Cricetulus griseus: one gene and its partners. The protein of the gene in region 1 interacts with the protein of each later gene in a biochemical or structural test. Links are inferred from orthologs where the notes say so. Each region holds a gene or a part of one and is shown in the gene's direction. Other genes may lie near its edges.

Region 1 (3,643 bases):
CCTGTGTGGGAGGCCCTACTTTCTGGGGACAGTGATTTGAGCTGGGGACAGTGGAGACACACCTTCCTGGGCCACCTTGCTGCCCAGGTCTCAGTCAACTTTACAGGTGACCATCATTGCCCAGCACTGCCCAACACTGCCCAGAATTGCCCAGTGCTGCCCAGCATTGCCCAACACTTCCCAACGCTGGCCAGCATTGCCCAGAAGACCTACTTCCTCACCCTCCTAACCCATACACTCACTGTATTCCCCACCCCTAAGCTAAGCCATCTCCACCACGTGCTGGCATTGAATCCAGCCTCACCAGGGCTGGCCAGCCCATCACTGCACTGGTCCTGGGCCTTCTCCTTCAAACAGCAGATACAGGAGCTTCACCTTCCCAGCCTTGTCCAGGAGCGTCCCTCCTGATGAACTGCCGGGATCCAGAGCCATGACCTCTCCTCTGAGAAGTTGTGTGGCATTGCCTACTCTCCCATTCTCTGCTGCCCTCCCTGGATCCAGAAAGGCTATGAGGGGCCTGAGGATGCAACACATGCTCTCCCCCAGTGCATAAAGAGAACTTCCTTGCACCACTTTTTAAAATGTGCTGGCCATCCTTATGTGATCTCCATCTGTCTATATGCAATGGGGGCGATAGTAGGAATGAATTAGTTTCTGATCTTATGGAGCCCAGAGTTCCAGGCTGTGCACTTGGTAACTAAGTATTACTGTGACTTCCTGATAGTTCCCAAATCTGTGGGCTCTTCTCTCTGTGCTGTTCTAGCTTCATTTCTTTAGAAAAGGAAAAAGAAGACTTGCAAAATAGGTATGAAATGACCCTTAGAGTCATTTATGGCCATTGCCCCAGAGGCAGGCCTGGGCAGCTGGGAACTCCCTGCACCAGAGCCAGGGGGAACTGGACACAAAGCATTATTGAAGGACCCCGATGGCCAGAGCCCTAGCCAGTGTGCACGTCCTGCCCTAGCAGAGAGAATAAAGCGGGCTCTGTGTGAGCCTCCTGTGCAGGGTGCCTGCCCCTGTGGAGGTCGTCCTGCAGAGGCCACACAGAGCAGACCCATGCGTTCTTGCACAAGCTCGCTCACATCCTGCCAGACGGACGTGGTGTTCCCCACGCTGGCCAACACAGCCAGGATCCAGAAAGACTTATGGCCTGTTTGCTCTGGCTGCTTTATTGACCTAAATCCTCAAGGTGGAGTTTGAGAAACTTTCTTAGGGCTCTCTACTGTGGATGTTGAGTGAGAGGCCACTCACTCCACTACCCTGACCAGACAGCCCACACTGCTATACACACACACACACACACACACACACACACACACTCCCAACAAAGTGGCTTTCTGCCATTCCCCCTGGTTGGAACAAGGCTGGACCCTGTTCTGTCCTGAACTCTAACTTGGTTCTGAGGCACTTTACATGCCCCACTGCACTCTGTGTCTGCTCAGGGAGATAACCTGGGAAGCCTGCATTTGGCTTTCTGCCTGCAACTTTGACCTCTGTCTAGTGACCTCTGGTGGGTAGCTACAGAGGAAGCCATGCTAGTGTCAGCATAGGCTTTTCAGAGTGTGTGTGAGCTCATGGGGCCAAGACACTCTCTCTGTGTGTGGAGAGTTAAGTTAGAAGCTGTTTCTTCTGGAAACATACGATGTCTACTTGATGGGAACAGTGGAGTCGAGGGTTGCAGAGATGAATGAGACTTAATCCTTCCTAGGCCAGTACAGTGCCAAGGTGGCAGTGGTGGGCACAGAGATCTGGGCTCTGCTTTGCTGGAGCACTCTACCTAGTGTGGGCAGAGTTCCTCATGCCTATCACAGCTGTCATGTTAATAAGATGTTTACAATAGGGAAAACATTCTGCCCTGCCTTCCAGTGAGGCCTTCATGGCATTCAGGAAAAGCAGCTCCCTGCTGCTCATGCAGCAAGGGATCAATCCCAGGTAGTGGCACCCTTGCCGGATGCCCTCAGCACTGTGGACACAGTTCCTCCCTGGCACACCCCTTGCCTTGCAACACCAAGGATGTATGGTGGCTCTGGTGGGGCCAAGCTACATCTTTTCTGGACCTAGGCCTGAGACTCCCGAACAGATCAGGATTTCAAAGCCCTTACTTCTCTGAGGCATTAAGAGAGATCATGTGCCCACTTGAGGCACACATGAAGATGGGTCTAGTGCCTGTGGTTTTTCTCCCAGAATGTGTGACCTGAAGGAGCTTCATGTGTCCCTGTCCCCTCCCCACAGAACTCCTTTCTGGTGCTGGCTGGCCTGGCTGATGGACTTGTGGCTGTGTTTCCGGTGGTACGGGGCACCCCAAAAGAAAGCTGTTCCTACTTGTGCTCGCACACAGCCAACAGGTCCAAGTTCTGTATCCCAGATGAAGATGCACGGCAGAACCCCTACCCAGTGAAGGCGATGGAAGTGGTCAACAGTGGGTCTGAGGTCTGGTACAGCAATGGCCCTGGCCTCCTCATCATCGACTGCACAGTCCTGGATATCAGCAGGCGACTGGAGCCCTTTGCAGCCCCTTCCACGGTCACATCAATTGTGTGCAGCTCAGACTGCAGAGGGGAGGAGGTGGTCTGGTGCCTAGATGACAAGGCCAATTCCTTAGTCATGTACCACTCAGCCACCTACCAGCTGTGTGCCCGGTACTTCTGTGGGGACCCCAGTCCTCTCAGGGACACGTTTCCTGTGCAGCCCTCAGTCCCAGAAGCCCCAGGCAGTCACATAGTCACCTCAAAGGAGCCAGAGGAAGAGTGCATTGCAGACGTGAGCATCATGTACAGTGAGGAGCTGGGCATGCAGATCCTGACCCACCAGGACTCACTCACTGACTACTGCTCCATGTCCTCCTACTCCTCGTCCCCACCCCACCGAGATCCCAGGTCCCCGTCCAGTCTGCCCAGCTCCCTGACCAGCTATTCCAGTGTGCCTTTCTCCACTGATTATGAAGATCCAGACAGGCCCAGCGTCACTTCTGACAGATCTGAGCCTGACCTGACCCCCATGGATGGGGAGACGTTCAACCAACACCTGCAGGCTGTGAAGGTTCTTGCTGTCAAAGACCTCATTTGGGTCCCCAGGTAAGTGTTTTTGAGTGGGGGTGCCATTTCTGAGCTGTCCAGTGCTCTTGTTTTGGGGCCGAAGTGAGTGGAACCCATGGCTTCTTGAAAGATTTGCAAATCCATCTGGGCAGTTCTCCCAAGAAGTCTTTGCCATTTGCTTTTAGAATTAGGAGTGATAGCTGGGCAGTGGTGGTGTACGCCTTTAATCCCAGCACTCCTCTGGAGGCAGAGACAGGAGAATCTGTGTGAGTTCAAGGCCAGCCTGGTCTACAGGGCCAGTGCCAGGACAGGCTCCAAAGCTACACAGAGAAACCCTGTCTCAAAAGAAAAAAAAAAAAAAGAATTGGGAGTGATCTCCAAGCAAATATAAGAAGCTCACCTGTCCATCAGAAAATTCAAGGTGCCCCCAAAACAAGAACCATGCTCAGGTTTCCTATAGAAGGTCTTTCCCTGTGTCACACCGCCTCCACTCACTCTCTTCACAAAAACTTCAGGCTCTGTACCTACCTGCTCCGTGGCCCTATACCCACTGGGGAGTCCAGCTTCTTCAACACACTTTTACCCTTCTTGGCTTTGTCTTCTTAGGC
Region 2 (4,256 bases), on another chromosome or scaffold:
GGAGAGATGGCTCAGAGGTTAAGAGCGCTGTCTGCTCTTCCAGAGGTCCTGAGTTCAATTCCCAGCAACCACATGGTGGCTCACAACCATCTGTAATGAGATCTGGTGCCCTCTTCTGGCCTGCAGGGACACATGCAAACAGAAAACTGTATACATAATAAATAAATAAATCTTAAAAAAAAAAGTTCTTCATTTCAAAGTAAGTGAATGCAATGAAGTCTTTTGGAGGTGGGATGGGTTTTACTCTGTAGCCCAGATAAGTCTTGGAACTCATGGTTGGTCCCCTGCCTCAGTCTCTGATGGGCTAGAATTACATAGAGGCTCACACCACAGTGCCAGGTGGAGGTTGGAATTCCTTAAGGCAGGTTCTGTTTTCTTTTTAGATGAAGCTCAGTGCTGCTTTGTATTTGAGCTTCTTGGAGTGCTTTGAAAGTTTTCATGATTGATTACAACCTTCCAGATGAGTTCGGGAAGCAACTGGGCTTTTAAAAATTATTATTTAAGCTGGGCAGTGGTGGGAGGGACAGGCAGGTGGATCTCTGTGAGTTTGGGGGCAGCCTGGTTTACAGAGGGAGTTACAGTGCAACCAAGACTACACAGAAAAACCCTGCCACCCCCCATCGAAAATTATTATTTATTTTGTGTATGGATATTTTTCCTTGGTGTATGTCTGTGCACCCTGTGCATGCAGTGCCCTTGGAGGCCAGAAGAGGGGCGTCAGATCTGCTGGAACTGGAGTTTGTGAGTGTTGGGTGCTGAAATTCCGTCCTCTGCAAAAGCTGCCAGTGCTCTTAGCCACTCAGCCATCTCTTCAGATAGTGTCCCCCACCCACCGTGTGTGTGTGTGTGTGTGTGTGTGTGTGTGTGTGTGTGTGTGTGTGTGTGTGTGTGTGTGTGTGTGTGTGTGTCGGGGGGCTGGGTCTATAGACTACTCACTTAGTCGGGGCCCCAGTTTCCTCTTCTGTGGAAAGATTCGTCTCTGGCGCCCTGTCTTTTATCTGTGCAGCTACAGGGCTTAGGAAGGAAGTTACATGTACATTGACTTTGAAAGTGTAAACACTCACTATAGCCCTGGACATAGTAAAACCATCTTAGAAAGAAACAAAGAAACCTTGTACTGATCAGAACACTCCCCAGTGGAAGCCCTAGGTTCCCAGTCCCTGGAATGAAGTCACCCAAAAGTTAAATTTCATGTAGTTCGCTTCCGCGGCAGATTTTTTTTTTTTAACTTTGTGCTTAGCAAAACAAAACAAAACACTGCAAAACTTGCTGGGTTTTCCTCCATGGACTCTGGCAGCCTTTGGCTCCTAAGCGGAAAGACTCCTTGCCCCCTGCGCCTCACTTTCCCCTCCTCTTTCTGCTTCCTGCTAACTCTGCAAGCGCCCAGATCCTGAGCCTGTGCCGAGGCTCCAGTGAGCATGCTCGGCCCCCACCTCCCCAAGCAGAGGAAGCTGGTTTACATACGAGTCATACCAAGCATAGCCAGCATGTCAGAGCAGTCAGCTTGCAGCGGGCTGTGAGGGAGAGTGCCTTTGTCCTAAGAAATGTGCTTCGTGGTTTTCTTTTTTACTGCTTTCTTTTTAAACCCTTAAGGCAGGCTTTGGAAGACTGCTGACATGATTTTTTAAAGCCGAGTAGAGGACGCAATACAGACACTGCCTTCCAATAAGCCCTTGACGGGGTTTTGTTTGAGTCTGATTTTTTTTGTGTGTGTGTGTGCGTGATCTTTTTAAAAAACTTTTACATACTTTGTTTTGATCTTGTGAGGCTGGGCCTCTGTCTTCCTGAAGTTTTAGAAGAGCCTGGAGCTACTCAGCTAAGGCTGAATTTTGAAACTTTCTCTTCGGGGGTGAAAGCAAAGAACTGCTTTTCTTTGCTAGCCGAACAGATAAATGCTGTTTATGAAGATGGACCTGTTGAACTACCAGTACTTGGACAAGATGAACAACAACATCGGTGTTCTGTGCTATGAAGGTAGATGCTCCAGAATGGACTTCTTTTTTACATTTGTAACGGCCCCTCCTCCTTGGGGGGGGGGTATGATCAGCTTCTGAACATTTCTTGTCTTTCTTGGGATGGTGGAGTGCCTAGAGAGAGAGAGTTGTGTGCCATTTCAGGACAGTTTCCTGGTGCCTGGCTGGAGAGTGGCAGCCGGGAAGGGCTGGAGGGGACACATTGTTACAAGTTTGCTTCCAGTGTACTGACAAGATCTGACAAGATTGTTACACTTTAAATTCTTTTCTTTTTTGATTTTGTTGCCATTTTATGTAGGGGAGGAACTTATAGGAACAAGAAGCTAAGCATGTGGGTGTTAGAGCAGAGGGGAGGGGCTCTGAGACGTATTTTTAAATACATCACCGTGTACAGTATTCTGTGTGTACTCTTGCTCTGGATTTTGTGTGGTGAACGGACAACAACAAAAAGCCACAATGAGTTTTTGTTTTCCGGGGCCATTGTCTCAGACATTGAGGATTTTTTTTTTTTCTTGTGGAGTTTGTGGGGCTGGCAAGGCCTGGTGTCAGGGAGCCCAGGCCTGCTCTTTGTCTGCCGCCCCATTTCCTGTGACAGTGAGACTGGCTCCCTCCAACCCCCAGCCCCAGGCGATTACACAACCCTGTTGCCAAAAGGCTAAAGAAAGTGGAAAATGCCCCCATCCCTAGGTTCTTCTTGCTCATCCCCTCCCCTTCTTCTGGACATCCCCTGGAGTGGGGAAGAAGAGAAAACCTCAGTTCCATCTTTTGAAATTTTACCTACGTGCCATTTGAGTCCAGGGTAATGGCCTGGTTGAGCTTCAGGACTGGCAGGGCAGGGAGAGATCGAGGGCTGCCAGGGAGTCTTTCCCGGTAAAAGCATGTAGGAATCAGGGCACATTTTCCTTCTAGGGGCCCAGGCTCTGTGTTTTCTCTCACGGTAAACTGAGTGGTTGTTTGCTTTTTCATGGACAGATGTTAAAGTGGGGTGCAGAGTCAGTTATTTTTGTGTAAAAGTTTCAGATCTGTTTCTTAAAGCAGTTGAAAACACACCCTTTCTCTTTCAAACTTGTTTTAAAATTAACTCTATGGATATAAAGAATATAATATTTAAAGTTTTTTGTTTTCATTGTTGTTGCTGTTGTTTTATTTTGTTCTAAAATAAGATACCACTTTACTTTGACAAGTTTCCTCTACATGTAAGGAAACTAGACTCCCTCATCTCAAAGGCTGGATTTTCAGAAGCGGTTTCTGGTGGGATTCATGTATTGTCTTTAAAAAACAGCTGCACCCCAACCCCAACAAAAGATGAAAACTTTTTAATGTGATTTCTTTGTCATCAAGTAATCTGATATTTTTAAAAAAACAAAACAGTGAAGTGCACTGAAGCTGCCAGGACACTGGGACCAGGTTTGTTCCTTGTGTCTAGGGAGGAAGTTCAGCGGCTCCCCCAGGTGGGCGTGCGGTTCTGTGAAAAGTACGTATGCCAGCAGTTAGTTGTCTTGTTTCCTTCAGTGTTTTGAAGAACAGACTTTGATTTTGAGAGCCGAGTGGATGTGTGGGATCATAGGCTATCGTCTGTTTAGTTTAAACATCTGCTCCCGTTTTCCTTATTATGAAAGGTAATATTATTCTAACACCAAAATAAATACACAGGAAATGAAGAAAAGTACAGCAAAACCAGAGTGTCGTTTGGAGCCGGTTGTTTACGTCCTCTGGTTTCCTCACTGTAAACACCGCACACATCTGGTCTCAGAGCCTTGTGGAAGGATGGGTGTAAATCATACACGGAATTCTCTCCTGTAAGGAGTGAGACAGAGGCAGGCCTGTGGCACATGCCTGCAATCCCAGAACTGAGAAGGCAGAGGCAGGTGGATCTCAGTGAGCCTGGTCTACTTAGTGAGTTCCAGCACAGCCAGGGCTACATAGGGAGACCCTGTCTCAAACAAAAAAACAAACCAAAAAGGAAAGTTGATAGAGTTTCAACGAAGTGTGCTGTGATAGTTTGCACTGCACACATCAGCCCTCTAGAGTGCCAGGGCAGTTGGTTATGTGGAACATGAGTGGATGGGAGTAGGTGGCATTTGATCTATTCTGGGGCACAGGCCAGCCTCCTGCCTGTTAAGGGGACACACTCAAGTGTTTACCTTGTTGGCTTTAGAAGTGAAGGTGTAGGTGGGGGAGCTTTGCTTGCCCAGGTTGCTTCTACCACAGCTTTGGTTGTGTCGGGTGAACGGTGTCCTCACCTTCTCCCTTCTTTCAGGAGCTCCCATGAAGATGGGTCAG
Region 3 (4,252 bases), on another chromosome or scaffold:
TTCACTCGGTTCCTCACATGCCTCCAAGATGGAGATGTTCATGCTTGCAGGGCAGCACTGCCCACCCCACCACCAGGGAAGAGCCTGAGCAACTCCCATAACAGACCCATTGGCGGGTACATGTCCTTTTGTGTTTCTCATTGGTTAATTGTCTAAGGCTCCTCTCACAGTCCACCTATAAGCAGGGTCCCAGTGATACTTGGTCTTTAAGGCAAAGTGTCCATGGGTGGCCCCAGGGCAAAGGTGCCTAGGCAGTGAGGCTCCCCTGGTGAGCGGGTACAGAGGTGCCCTGCCACACTCACCTAGGTAACAACCTGTAGCAATGCATGGAGCCCCCTTTTAGGTTGCTTGAGCTCTGGTTCTGCCTCTGCCCCTTTGTCGCAGTTGCTGGCCTGGTCTCTGTGAGCCTGTGAGCAGAGCCTTGCCTGCACATCCATCTCCCCTCCTGCTGAACACACATGCAGTCACTTCAGCATGTGCATGCCCGCCCACCCCTCACCTGCCAACACCCTGGCCTCTGGCCATGGTACTGCTGCCAGTACTTTGAAAGATGGGATGCAGACTACAGACTCACGTGTCTCAGATTCACATGTGCTATCATTTGATGTGCTCTGATTGGCTAGTTTTTGGTTTGTTTTTACTGTATATTTATAGTAATAAAATCATGCAGCAATATTCTACGTGTGCCTTTGTTCAGGCACAGCACTGTGGGCAGGCAGTTGGTCCTTGATGTAGTGGCAGGACACTGTTTTCTGGTAGCTTACCTCTCGTGAGCAATTGGTGAATCTCAGCCTCCTGGGCAGGTTGTCCCAGTTCTTACACCCACCCCAGCTCTTCTGATATCTGCTGAGCACTAACCATGTGTCAAGAGGAGAACATGCTTAAATCTTTTTCATTAATTTATTTTTTATATTCCAATCTCAGTTCTCCCTCCCACCTCTTCTGCTCCCCCTACTCCCTCCCCCACCTCCCATCTGCTCCTCAGAGAGGATAAGGTCTCCCCTAGGAAGTCTACTAAGTCTGATCCATCATGTAGTTGAGGCAGGACCAAGGCATCTCTCCATCCCCACAACCCTGTGTCTAGGCTGGGCAAGGTATCTCTCCATAAAGATTGGGCTCTACTAAGTCACTTTGTGCATTAGTGTCAGAACTTGGACCCACTGCCAGTGGCCTCATATATTGTCCCAGTCACACCATTGTCACCTATATTAAGGGAGTCTAGTGCAGTCTAATGCTGGTTCCCCATTTGTCAGACCAGAGTCAGTGATCTCTCACTAGCTCGGGTCAGCTGATTCTGTGGGTTTCCCCATCGTCTTGACTCCTTTGTTCATATTATTGCTCCTCCCTCTCTTCAATTGTACTCCAGGAGCCTGGCCCAATGGTTAGTTGTGGATTTCAGCATCTGCTTCCATCTGTTTCTGGAGGAGGGTTCTAGCTTCTCTGAGGTTGTGGATTGTAGGCTGGGTATCTTTTGCTTTATGTCTGGTATCCACTTAGGAGTAGGTACTATATTTGTCTTTCTAGTTTTGGGTTACCTCACTCAGGTTTGGTTTTTCTAGTTCTGTCCGATGTTTAAATCTTTAAAGGCGTGGTTTCATAGGACAAATGGTGGAGCTACGAGCTCAGGGTCGAGGCTCGGGAAAATCTGCACCCTCAGAGATGAGGTGAAAATTGAGAGTTGCAGTGGTCCTCTCAGGGTTGTCCGGGACTCAGAGATGGCACGTATTGATGCTCATTGTACCTCCCTCTGATGACCTGGCTTCACGCGGTGCATCTTGGGAATTGTAGTTTTCTGGTCGGTGGGAGAGGTCTCCTATGCAGCTTGGAGGGTGGCAAACTCCACCCTCCCACCAGGGACTCCAGTCATCTCTGGGTTCAACCTCAGGCTCTCAGGATTGGTGGGGGCGGGCCTATGCACGTGGATGCACGTGGATTGGGCCTGTGTGTCGTGGGCGGGGTCGCGCATGCTCATTTGGGCGGTGGGCCTGGAGCGTATCAAGATGTCGACCGCGACGGTTCCAGAGCTAAAGCAGATCAGCCGGGAGGAAGCAATGCGCTTGGGGCCCGGCTGGAGCCACTCGTGCCACGCCATGCTGTATGCCGCGAACCCGGGGCAGCTCTTCGGTCGTATTCCCATGCGATTTTCAGTGCTGGTGAGGATCTGGGTGGGTGAGCGGGCGGACACAGGCTTGGGGTGCCCTGTGGACCCCACGTCATGATCTGACTTAACCTTGCAGATGCAGATGCGCTTCGACGGGCTGCTGGGCTTCCCCGGGGGTTTTGTGGACCGGCGCTTCTGGTCGCTAGAGGACGGCTTGAACCGGGTGCTAGGCCTGGGCTTGGGCGGCCTGCGCCTTACCGAAGCTGACTACCTGAGCTCACATCTGACTGAGGGTCCACAACGCGTGGTGGCACATCTATATGCACGGCAGCTGACACTGGAGCAGCTGCATGCTGTGGAGATCAGTGCAGTGCACTCGCGGGACCACGGTCTGGAGGTGGGACCACTGCCTGGGGACCGCCCCCATCCCCACTCCTGAGGTTTGGCTCTGGCACCACAGAAGGCACCGATGTGGTAACAAGTGCCCCTCAGGGTCCTCACCCTGGCCATGCTGAGTGGGAAGAGAGACTTGGGTTCTGGGTCTGGGGCTGTTTACATTTGCCTTGCTGCCTGCCATTGTCAATCCTGGGAGTGGAGCATGGGATCACTAGCATAAAGGGATGTCAGGAACTACTTGGGAAATTGAGGAAAGACCCAAAAGGCTTGGTTGTAGGGCTTGGGGTTGTCTCCTGAGAGGTAATGTAAAAAGCTTTTGGGGTTTGTGGATCCTCTGGTCTAAGGGATTTGGAGTGAGGCAAGGTATCATGGGTGCTGGCCAACAGGGTGGGGAGTTCATAGGCTTTACTGCTACCAGCCTTGCCTGGGTCTCCCCATCTCTTTGACAAACATCTCTGCCAGGGTCCTACCTCTATAAGGAGAGCCCAGTCCCACCCCATACCCTCTGTCCCACAGGTGCTGGGCCTTGTACGCGTCCCACTGTACACCCAGAAGGATCGAGTAGGCGGCTTTCCTAACTTCCTGAGCAATGCCTTCGTCAGCACTGCCAAGTACCAGCTCCTATTTGCCCTTAAGGTACTCAACATGATGCCCTCGGAAAAGCTGGCAGAGGCCTTGGCCTCGGCCACAGAAAAACAGAAGAAGGCCCTAGAAAAGCTGCTCCCAGCCTCATCCTGAGGAGGTTCCTGTGCGGTTCTTGCCCTCCCTTAGCTGTCTCTGCCCACAGGCCCTGGGATTCCCGAGAAGCGTGCCTTCTAGCTTGTTTGGTTTTGCACCCTTTCTGACTGCAAGGGACAAGCAGGCAGCTGTTCATCTTTATTGTCCCAAGCAGTCCCTGGGACCTAGCTACTCTCTCAGGTTGTTCAGTGGGGTAGCTTGGGCCTGACTTTTCAAGCTGAGTATGCCGTCACCCATCCCAGGGCTCAGACTGTCCTGTGTGAGTCTGTTTGTGACTGCTGGAGACCCAGGTAGAGCCCACTTTTCCAAGGCAACGACTTGATGGTACATGGTTCCTGGACTGGTCAGGGATTTCATTCAATGGAGGTGACCCGTGTTAGATCACTCCTTCCCTTGGCCCAGCTTGCAATAGGCTGTTCATTTGGGTTGTTGCTGGATTTCTGTTAGATTTTTCTTTCTTGGTGTGTGAACTGTGGGTTGGTTTCAGAGTGGCTATGCCCCACATGACTTGGTTCTCCCCAGCAGGGCTTTGGCTCAACTCTGTGGAATTGAGGAAGCAAGAAGACAATAAAGCCATTCCTCTGATGCTTACGTTTGCTTCTGGGTGGCATGGGTCCAAGAACATGACCAGCTTGAACCCTGAGGGCAACCAATCTGGCTAGTAGCTTGAGTTCAGACCTTGTGGTGGTAGCATAAATGAAGCACAGATTTCATGTGCAGAGGTACAACAGCACCACCACAGAATAGGAATGCCACTGCTGGCTGACTTCCAGCCTGTCCAGAAATAGTGATTTTAGGGCTTAGAACAGCCACCAAGCAGAGGAGAGATCTTCGAGCAAGGGATGTGGAGATCAGAAGGGGCTATAGATGGGTTATTAGGGTCTACTGGTGACAGCCAGGAATACATGTCTTATGATCATAAATGAGCCCCCACCAACTTACAAGAATTTTATTTTCCAACAAACAGCACATTTTCTAGGCACCCAGACCTAACCTTAAGACCAAACAAACCTCAGT

The links.
Region 2: the proteins of Lrrk1 (region 1) and Vgll4 form a complex in vitro, tested with the Homo sapiens proteins (2 studies listed by BioGRID and IntAct, with this or other methods). The link is inferred for Cricetulus griseus from reciprocal best matches to the Homo sapiens genes LRRK1 and VGLL4.
Region 3: the proteins of Lrrk1 (region 1) and Nudt16l1 form a complex in vitro, tested with the Homo sapiens proteins (2 studies listed by BioGRID and IntAct, with this or other methods). The link is inferred for Cricetulus griseus from reciprocal best matches to the Homo sapiens genes LRRK1 and NUDT16L1.

The regions. Positions count from the first base shown.
Region 1 is NC_048596.1:131,008,341-131,011,983, forward strand, and holds part of Lrrk1 (leucine-rich repeat serine/threonine-protein kinase 1), read left to right. Parts: intron 1-2,232; coding exon 2,233-3,074; intron 3,075-3,641; coding exon 3,642-3,643.
Region 2 is NC_048601.1:29,921,071-29,925,326, forward strand, and holds the start of Vgll4 (transcription cofactor vestigial-like protein 4), read left to right. Parts: upstream 1-1,448; 5' UTR 1,449-1,892; coding exon 1,893-1,974; intron 1,975-4,256. UniProt on the Homo sapiens protein: May act as a specific coactivator for the mammalian TEFs.
Region 3 is NC_048600.1:41,753,776-41,758,027, reverse strand, and holds Nudt16l1 (tudor-interacting repair regulator protein), read left to right. Parts: upstream 1-1,444; 5' UTR 1,445-1,922; coding exon 1,923-2,153; intron 2,154-2,237; coding exon 2,238-2,498; coding exon of another isoform or gene 2,499-2,540; exon of another isoform or gene 2,541-2,575; intron 2,576-3,013; coding exon 3,014-3,235; 3' UTR 3,236-3,826; downstream 3,827-4,252. UniProt on the Homo sapiens protein: Key regulator of TP53BP1 required to stabilize TP53BP1 and regulate its recruitment to chromatin.